Macaca fascicularis: one gene and its partners. The protein of the gene in region 3 interacts with the protein of the main gene of each other region in a pairwise test. Links are inferred from orthologs where the notes say so. Each region holds a gene or a part of one and is shown on either strand. Other genes may lie near its edges. The genes, in order: keratin, type I cuticular Ha8; CCDC24; USHBP1.

Region 1 (2,387 bases), on a different chromosome or scaffold from region 3:
ACCCATGAAAGTGGGTCCTCTCCCCTTGGATGGTCTCAATAGAAAGGAGTTGCTAAGAAGGTTCTGCCCCTCAAAGCAAAGTTTTCTCATTCTTTAGCCTAATGCAAATACTCAAATACAGTCTGCTCTGGGAAGCAAGTTATTATGTGCACCATTTTGTTTCTGATTAAATTTAGATGCTAGAGGAAATTCATTTACCTGCCTGTACGAAGAAGCCTGAGGTCACGGGTGGCCCTTAAACCTGGCCATGTGGGTCAGCCTCTGCACTCCTTAAACATTATACAATCAATACTGGCTCCAGGTGAGGTTTCTTTGTGTGCTTTCTCCTTTTCAAGGTATTTTTATTTCTGTTATCTTAGAATCCATGACAGATCTGAGATATAAGTATGAACAATAACATTATCCCTGTTTTACCGCAGGAGAAAAAAAATGCTGAGGCTTAGGTGTGTGAAGTGATGATTCGAAAACCCCACAACAAGTCAGAGATAAAGTCAGGACTAGACGTGTTTGTTCTTTCAACAGGTATTTATTAAGCATCTATTGTGTACCAAGCAGTGGGCTAGGCTCTGGGGATGCAGAAATGAACAATTGCTAATCTTGGGTAAGCATTTTGATTGGGAAAACAATAGATACAGAGGCAAGTTCAGCTGTTGGCGTTGCTAATGAGCAGGACAGAGTGCCAGGGCTGTGAGTCCTTTAGGCTGGTAACCAAACAGGAGCTCTCAGAGGAAAGAAACTTTCAGCTGACCTGAACATTTATAAGGGGGGGGAAGAGCACCCCAGAGGGAACGAAGAGCAGGGACAGGTCTCCAGGCATGTCCAAGGAACAGAAAGGCCAGTGTGGCTGAATCGTGGTAAGGAAGGTAGAGAGCATGAAGACAAGAGGTGGAAGCACGTCATACTTAGCAAATCTCTACCCGTAAATCAATAGGTTTCAATACTTCAGGAGAAAATACTAGAAAAAAATGAAGTCATTGTTCAGATTTTAGACCGGAAGAATTAGACAGGGACAGGGGTTATAGCCAGACAAGTCTTGAGAATCAGAATTTATAGAGACAAAAAAAGAAAAATTTCTGAATCTGAACGTTCCTTTCACATAGAAAGAAGCTACGGAAGCCATATGTAAGAGGCTGTGTTGCCACAGAAGGGGCAAGCCTGGTCCTTTGTCATAGCTAGAACCCCTGAAGTAGAAAGACTCAGAATTTGATACAAGGAAAGTTTCCACTTAATCAGCTTCCAAGGTAGGGAGGCAGGACGATAGAAGAAGGGAATTAGAAAAGACAGGGTCAGGTACAAATCTGGTTCTATTTCCCTCTCCCTGGGGCCATAATCCAGGCTGGCAATGTTAGAAACAACCCAAGAGATGTGGGAATCTCAGACAGTAAAGTCTGTTCTTCACTTCCGTTGTCATAAACTATAAAAAAATTCAAGTTAAAGTTGGTGTTCTTGAAGTGCAAGTGCAATTTTAAATCATGCCGTATTCCTACTCCAAATTGCTTTTCAACCTTATGCCTCTCCAATCCAGATATTCTGAGCCACCATGAGTGGCTGCAATCCAGCCACTGAGGGCATAGAGCTCACCTGGGAAAACCAAGAGCGGGAAAGGAAGGATTTTCATCAAGTTTCCACCATCCCTGGTATCTCCTAGCCTTTGGACAGGCCTATACATACAGGAAGTTAGAAGCCAAATGTTCTAGAGGTATAACAAGCATCTCTCTTTGGGTATCCCTCGCCTTAGCCAGCCCCTGCGGGTCCACAGGAATTCAGAATCGGCTTCCAGTGGTGCTGGCTCCACAGGTGGTGTAGGGGCCACAGCTTGAGCGAGGAGCACAGGGGGCGGTCACACAGGAGGGAGGCGTGGAGCATGGATTGCAGGGGAGTCTGCAGAGAGAACAAGGTGAGGGAAGTGAGAGGCAAGGAATGAATGGGGTCTCAGTGCCATGTGGGGGCATAAGGAAGGGGTCCCTACTGCAAAATAACAGTGGATGGACATTTCCCTTCACTCTGTCAACCACATGGAGTGTGCAGGACAGAGCAATGACTCACTGAAAAGGAGTGCACAGACAGCCTCATTCTATGTAGAGACAGCCCTTCTGCTGCCCTGAACACCTCATGAGAATTGGGTAAATGATTTGGCCAGGAACTGCCCAGATCACACGTACTTGCAGTCCTCGCTCTCCAGAAGGTTCCGATACGTGGCAATCTCATTCTCCAGCCGAGCCTTCACGTCCAGCAGCACCTGGTACTCCTGGTTCTGCCGCTCCAGGTCAGCCCGGATCTCGGACAGCTGCTCCTCCACGTTGCTGATGAGGCTCTGCATCTGGGCCAGCTCCGTGCCGAAGCGGTCCTCAGCTTCACACAGGGAGTTCTGCAGACAGTCCTTCTGT
Region 2 (3,751 bases), on a different chromosome or scaffold from region 3:
GGTGCCCCTGGGCCTCACCTCAGATGTCTGGCCACCTGGTCAATGTTGGACACGTTCAGTTGGTCCTTGATGATGCTGAGATCTCTGTGACCACTGCTGGCAATGAAGTCACTATTACTCTCCCCATGTTGCTCACCCCAGGCCTTCAGGACCCAAACATCACTTCTCCTAGACAACTGTCTTTCTTTTCTCACAAAAACAATATAATATAGTGCAAAGAGTAAGAGTTTGGGAGCCTAGTTTTGCAAATGAGCTCTGCCACCCTTCATTGTGTGTGACTTCAGACAAAGCACTTATCCCTTCTGAGCTTTAGTTTCTTTTCTTTTTGTTTTTTTGTTTTTTTGAGACAAGATTGTGCTCTGTTGCTCAGGCTGGAGTGCAGTAGCACCATCTTGGCTCACTGAAGCCTTGACATCCCAGGCTCAAGTGCTCTTCCCACATCAGCCTCCTGAGTAGCTGGGACTATAGGTGTGCACCACCACACCTGTTCAATTTTTTGCACAAACGGGGTCTCACTATGTTGCCCAGGCTTCTTCTTTTTTTTTTTTTTTTAGAGACAGGGTCTTTGTCACCCAGGTTGGAGTGCACAGGTGCAATCATAGCTCACTGAAGCCCCAAATTCCTGAGCTCAAGCCATTATCCCACCTCAGCCTCCCAAGTAGCTGGGAATCCAGGCATGTGCCACCACGCCTAATTTTTTTTTTCACTTTTTGTAAAGATGGGGTCTCCCTGTGTTGCCCAGGCTGATCTCAAACTCCTGGCCTCAAGCCATCCTCCTGCCTCAGCCTCCTAAAGTGCTGGGATTACAGGCATGAGCCACTATGCCCGGCCTTTAATTTCTTCTTGTGCAAAGTGCAGACTTTGCCCACCTCAGGCTGTGTGAGGATTAGAAAAAGAAGTTGCTGCCATTCACTTATGAATGTTTTATCTCATTCAGTCCCAGCTGTAAATACCATTTGTAGCCATCCTCTTTAGCTCTCCCTGCCTCCCTAACCCAGCCCTCACTCCTGTTCTCTAGGCCAGAGGAGCAATCGCCTGCTGGACTTTCTTCCCTTTTCCTACAAAGCTCTTCTCTCTTTCATCTCCCTGAAAACTGCTCCTCATACGACAACACGCAGATCAAACCACTTTCTCCAGGAAGCTTTGCCTGTCCCCAGGCTAGGCAGGTGTTTCCTCTGGGTTTCGGCAGCCCTCATGTGCTGATCTCTACCACAAGTGGTGGTGGAAGTGCCCAGCCCGTGACTGGAACCTCCTGCATGGAGCCAGGTGCAACCCACCAGTTGGCTAGGGCCCTCTGCCAAGCAGGGACAGATCCCTTTCTCCTACCATCACCTTACCTGGGCCTACCACCTCTCATCTGGAATATCTCCTGTTCTGGCAAATCACACCTGGGCTCCTCCAAGGCAAAGTGCAGGACCCTGGGGCTATACTGGACCCAAGCTTGGGCCTGGTCCCTGCAGAAGGTGCACAGGAAGGAAGATGAGAGGCTCCTTTCTGGAAACCACAGAAAAGGCAACCCTGGCTCTTTGTTAGGGGCAGGGCTAGCCCACCTGGTATCTGGGGAAAGGACCCAGGCCTGAGGCTCCCACCTGCCCTCACAGATGGCTTTGTGGTGGAGACCCTGGAGCAACTGCCGGAGTTCCTGGCGCAAGAGGTCCTTTAGGAGAGGCGGTGGTGCCAGAAGAGAAGAGGGGTCAGAGATGGGGCGGGAGCTGGGGGCTTGAGAGGATCGAGCCTCTTGGAGCAGTGCCCGTAACATCGCCACCTGCAAGGAGAGCTGGGATACCTTGCGACTGGGGAGGGGAGTGACCGGAATGGTGGGGGCTGGGGGAGTGAGGGAGAGGACAGAGTCAAAGGGGAGAGGGCCAGGACAGTGAGACCCAATAGGATCTCGGGAGTTCCCCGGCAGGGCCAGGGACCCGCAGGAGGTGGGAAATCACACCCAGGGGCGTGGCCCACCTTCCCTCTCCCCACCTCCGCCCGCAGCTCCAGGCTCAGGTCCACCGCCGCCTCCCCCAGAATCCTCTTCACTTCGGGTCGCTCCCGGAGCGGAATGTGCTCCTCCACCAGCTCCCACAGCGAGGGGGAGTGACGAAGCATGACCCACCCGCGCCGCCGTCCCCAGCTCGGACCTACAAGCCGCAGGTCAGAGCGCGGGAGGTACCGCGGGCCCGCCGGCAACGCTCACCAAGCCCCGCCCCTCTATGAGGACCGCCCTCTTCCAAGCCCCACCCATGCTCTGCCGCCGGTCCCCTCAGCTGGGATTGCCCCGTCCAGAACCGCCATTCCTTGGCGCGCTCTTCTGCCAGGCTTTTGGTCAACTCGTATGCCGCGGGCCCAGAAGCCAGGCAGTGGGAACCAGCGCCCTAGCCCCACCTCTTCCGCGTGGCCATCACCCGGGAAACCGCGCCGCGACTCTAGGCCCCGCCCCCTCCCGTGTGTGGTCCGGCGGCGGCGCCTGCAGGCTGGGAGTTCAGACTTAGTGCTCCACCGAGCCCTGACCCCAGGCACTTTGGGCTCGGCCCTGGGCACCTTTAGGCCTCAGGGAACGTGTTAAGACCTGAGAAATCTGGGTCCACGGGTTTATTACTTCGTCGCCTCCACTGGCCCGGAAGCAGTGCAAGGACAAACTTCCCCTTAAGGCCAATAGAAGCCTAGGGAGTGACAGCGTTCCGAGAACCAGCATGGCCCGGATCAGGTTTACTTGTTGGGCCAAGTGCCCTTCCACCACAACACACTCAGGGTAACCATGTTCAGGGACCCGACCCCCACCCCCAGACAAGGGAGCTGCTCCATTCACGTTTTTTACTAAAGCACCCACACAAGTTTCTGTGCAATGTACAAACACGAGCCGGCCCTGGGGCTCCTGCCTCCTCTCTCAGACAGGGAGGCGGGCACCAGACTTACTGATCCAAGCCCCACCTGCCTCCCATGCAAAGGCCAACCCCAAGATCCCAGGCAGCGACACAGCATCCCCTCTGGTCCCCTCCTGGGGCAGCTCCTCAGCAGGGGGCGCACCAAAGCTTGCCCCCTACAATGTTGAATGAAAAAGGTTTCCCCTCCCCTGGGAGCAAGGGGGTTCCCAAGAGCTGAGAATTTCCCCCTGGAAGAGACACTGCCCCCTAGACATACCTCCCACCCTTCCAGGCCCTAGGGGACTCAAGGGGGGAAACTGAGGCACAGAGAGGTGGAGTGACCTAGCCCAGGCCACTCCGCGAGGCAGTGCAGGGGCTGGCCCGACCCTGACAGTGACTGGGGCTGGGCTAGGGGGAGGGGGTCAGGAAGGAGGGTTGACTCCAAAGAGGGCCACACTTGTGAAGAGCCTGCCCAGGCAGGAGGCCCCCAAAGTGGGTTCTGAAACTTCCAGGTATAGCTAGGGGGCCTATTGAAGACCCTCGGAAAACAAAGCCCACAGTCTCAGTCCTGGAGGTCCTCCACAGAGCAGCTGCCAGCCAGGCTGTGGTCAGTCCTCTGGCAGGCAATCCTCGGCACCGAGAGCCTCTGTCCATTAGTGTCAGCCCCGAGGGGGCCACGACGGGGGCCGCCCAATGTCCACTGTGATATTGGTGAAGAGTGGTTGCCGAGACACCTCCAAGACCTGGTACCGCACTGACCCAATGCCGTCCCGCTTCATGGTCAGCTTCGTGTTTTGAATCTTGGTAAACCTAGATAGGATGGAAATGGTCTGTATCAGGGCTAACAACTGTAAACTACAAATAAAATCCTACACCCCCCAATCAACTAAATGGAC
Region 3 (3,651 bases):
GGCCTCCTCTTGTGCCAGCAGCCTCCATGCTTCCTCTTCAGCTGCTTGCAGGTCACTCGTGGGGGCTTCGTCTCCTGCTTCTGAATTGGCCTCCCGCAGAGCAAGAAGAACCCTGTATGCCTCTTCACAGTGCTCACTATGGGACACTGGTTCTGAGTGCTTCAGGACACTCAGCTTGGCTGGGTGCAATGGCCCTCACCTGTAGTCCTAGCACTTTGGGAGGCTGAGGCGGGAGGATTACCTGAGGTCAGGAGTTCGAGACCAGCCTGACCAACGTGGTGAAACCCCGTCTCTACTAAAAATACAAAGATTAGCAAGGTGTGGTGGTACGCACCTGTAGTTCCAGCTACTCAGGAGGCTGAGGCAGGAGAATCGCTTGAACCAGGGAGGTGGAGGTTGCAGTGAGCCAACAGGGCACCACTGCACTCCAGCCTGGGTGACAGAGCTAGACTCTGTCTCAAAAAAAAAGAAAGAGAGAAAAAAAAATGCTTAGCTACATCTCACTCTATAGGTGCCAGTCCCCACTTGCTCCTGAACTCCTCTTCTCCCCACTGTCCTCAACTCTGGAAGCATGTAGACTCCCTTACCAACCCTGAACTAAAATTGCCTTAAGTTAATTTCTGGGCCAGGCAAGGTGGCTCACACCTGTAATCCCAGCCCTTTGGGAGGCCGAGTCGAGCGGATCATGATGTCAGGAGTTCGAGACTAGCCTGGCCCATATGGTGAAACCCATCTCTACTAAAAATACAAAAATTAGCTGGGTATAGTGGCATACACCTGCAATCCCAGCTACTCAGGAGGCTGAGACATGAGTGTCATTTGAACCCAGGAGGCAGAGGTTGCAGTGAGCTGAGATCTCGCCACTGCATTCCAGCCTGGGTGACACAGCAAGACTCTGTCCCAAAAAAAAAAAAAAAATTAATTTCTGAAGTGGGGAAGGTGCTCTCCAGTGAGGGTTCTGTGGATTGGGGCCATCCTCAGAAAGCCCATTCCCTCCCCAGCTGGTGACATCACTGGCAGGGTGCACTGACCTGTACTGCAAGGCCAGATGCAATGCTGTGGCCTCAGCCTCCCGCTGGCCTAGCTGCATGCTGAGGCCCTCACAGTGGCCCTTGTATCCCTGGAGCACAGCCGATAGCAGACGGTTAAAGCATTTGAGCTTCTCAATGCTCCTGTCCCCGAAGGTGGGGAAGAGGGAAAGTCAGAGGCCTTCTAAGGCAGTCAGGCCTCAATTTCCACCCTTACCCTCCCTCCTGTTGCAGCTTCAGACTCCAGGCCTTCTAACTCAGCTGGAGGAGGTGCCTGTGCCCTTATGAGCTCAGCATTTGAGTCTCTTACCCTCGGAGTTGCTCCATCTGGGCTTCCATGATGTGCATCTCAGGACTGAGGGGCTGGGTGGGAAGAGACCCAAGGATCTGGGTGCTGGAATGGCTGCGGAGGCGCCGAAGCAGGGGGTGAGCCAGGGAGAAGGAGTCCTGCCAAGAACAGGTGATGTAATTGACCCCAATTGTCACCAAGAGCCTGGGATGGTAGGCATTTTGCAACCCCAGAAGCTGTTGGATCCCATGACAAAGATTTGAGTCTCATCCCCCTGAAGACTAAGGACATCAAGACCATGGGATTGAACTTCTCACACTCACCTGAGTCTCCCAGGGTTCCCTGTCTGCCTCAGAGCTGGTAGAACCACTGCCTGAGCCACCTGCTTGGCTGTGGGAAAGACGTGGGAAGGGCTCCAGCCTCAAGAGGGAATTCTGCAACTCCTGAACCTGGGAAGGATGAGGGGGAATGTCAGGCCTAGGGGCTGAAACCAACCACCAGCCTTCCCTCCCCAAGGCCTGTTCTTGGGGAAGTGGCAAGAACCCTAGCTGGAAGGCAGGAGGCTTGGATACTTAGCCTGCCAAAAATCTCACTATCTGACCTTGGGAATGTTTGCCAGCTGCTGAGGATTTTATTTTTCCCAGCAGAAAAATGGGCCCCACTGTGGAGGAAAATGAATCCCTGGACTGGGCTCCCATAGCCTCGAATTTTCCTACCAGCCTGAGATGAGGGTTTCCCTCTCAATACTTCATTCAGCCACATGACTTTTCTATTTTTATTTTTATTTTTGAGATGGAGTCTTGCTGTGTCACCCAGGATGGAATGCAGTGGCACAGTCTCAGCTCACTGCAACCTCTGCCTCCTGGGTTCAAGTGATTCTCCTGCCTCAGCCTCCTGAGTAGCTGGGATTATGGGCATCTGCCATCATGCCTGACAAATTTTTGTATTTTCAGTAGAGATGGGGTTTCACCATGTTGGCCAGGCTGGTCTCAAACTCCTGACCTCAGTTGATCACCTGCCTCAGCCTCCCTAAGTGCTGGGATTACAGGCATGAGCCACTGCACCCGGCAGCCACATGGCTTTAAATGCCACCTACATGCTAAGGATGCTCAAGTGTCTCCCTCCTGCCCTGCTGTCTCCCCTGAGCCCTGGACTCAGACATACAGCTGCTCCCTTGAGGACCCCACGTGGATGTCTCATGGGCACTGGAGCTTATCAAGGGCTAAAGAGATCTGGTCACCACCAGCCAAACCTGCCTACCCTGTAGCTCCTCCATCTCTCCCTTCTAGTGCTTCAGGTCCCAAAGCCTGAAGTTCTCTCTAGCCTTCATGCTCACACCTGTCAGTTCCATCTTCCACATCACCCAGAATCCGTCCACATCACCCAGAATCCGTCCACATCACCCAGAATCCGTCCGCATCTCTCCGCCTCCACAACCTCCACCATCCTGCGTGTCTGGACCAGTGAAGTCACCTCCTGGCTCTCCAAGAGTCCACCCTCACCCTCTCAGACGGTTCCTACCTCTGCCACCAGAGGGCGCCTCTGAACACCTGCGTCGAGCACGGCCTCCTCTGCTCAGAACCCTCCGGGGCTCTCACCTTAATCAGAGCAAAGCCCAAGTGAAGTGCCTCCTTGCAGCCCACGAGGCCCTGCGCCATCTGCATTTGTCCTCCCTCTGTTCTGGCTCCCCACACTCTCCCTGTTACGCCCTGTGTTCCAGCCACACTGGCGTCCTTCGGGTTCCTTGAACAGGCTAGTCATGCTGCCACCCCAGGGCCTGATCTCACCACCCTCAGTTTTCTTTCTTTTTCTTTTCTTTTCTTTTTTTTTTTTTTTTTTTTTTTTTTTTTTTTTTTTTTGAGAGTTTTCCTCTGTCGCTCAGGCTGGAGTGCAATGGCGGGATCTCGGCTCACTGCAACTTCCGCTTCCTGAGTTCAAGCAATTCTCCTGCCTCAGCCTCCCGAGTAGCTGGGACTGGGACTACCAGTGCATGCCAGCACGCCCGACTAAATTTTTTTGTATTTTTAGTAGAGATGGGGTTTCACCGTGTTAGCCAGCATGGTCTCGATCTGCTGACCTTGTGATCTGCCCACCTCGGCCTCCCAAAGTGTTGGGATTACAGGCGTGAGCCACCATGCCTGGCTTTTTTTTTTTTTTTTTTTTGAGACAGTCTCTCTCCGTCACCCAGGCTGGAGTGCAGTGGTGCGATCTCGGCTCACTGCAAGCTCTGCCTCCTAGGATCAGGCGATTCTTGTGCCTTAGCCTCCCTGGTAGCTGCAGAATTGTGTCAAGCAATTCTCCTGCCTCAGCCTCCTGAGTAGCTGGGATTACAGG

The links.
Region 1: the proteins of USHBP1 (region 3) and keratin, type I cuticular Ha8 interact in binary tests that used the Homo sapiens proteins (3 or more experiments, as listed by UniProt). The two-hybrid records come from large-scale screens. The link is inferred for Macaca fascicularis from reciprocal best matches to the Homo sapiens genes USHBP1 and KRT38.
Region 2: the proteins of USHBP1 (region 3) and CCDC24 interact in binary tests that used the Homo sapiens proteins (3 or more experiments, as listed by UniProt). The two-hybrid records come from large-scale screens. The link is inferred for Macaca fascicularis from reciprocal best matches to the Homo sapiens genes USHBP1 and CCDC24.

Annotation. Positions count from the first base shown.
Region 1 is NC_088390.1:62,484,417-62,486,803, forward strand, and holds the end of keratin, type I cuticular Ha8, read right to left. Parts: intron 2,384-2,387; coding exon 2,163-2,383; intron 1,882-2,162; coding exon 1,764-1,881; 3' UTR 507-1,763; downstream 1-506.
Region 2 is NC_088375.1:190,767,833-190,771,583, forward strand, and holds the start of CCDC24 (coiled-coil domain-containing protein 24), read right to left. Parts: upstream 2,207-3,751; 5' UTR 2,101-2,206; coding exon 1,975-2,100; coding exon of another isoform or gene 1,960-1,974; intron 1,825-1,959; exon of another isoform or gene 1,766-1,824; coding exon 1,551-1,765; intron 1,455-1,550; coding exon 1,338-1,454; intron 97-1,337; coding exon 19-96; intron 1-18.
Region 3 is NC_088393.1:17,579,824-17,583,474, forward strand, and holds part of USHBP1 (harmonin-binding protein USHBP1), read right to left. Parts: intron 1,767-3,651; coding exon 1,641-1,766; intron 1,476-1,640; coding exon 1,339-1,475; intron 1,173-1,338; coding exon 1,032-1,172; intron 137-1,031; coding exon 1-136.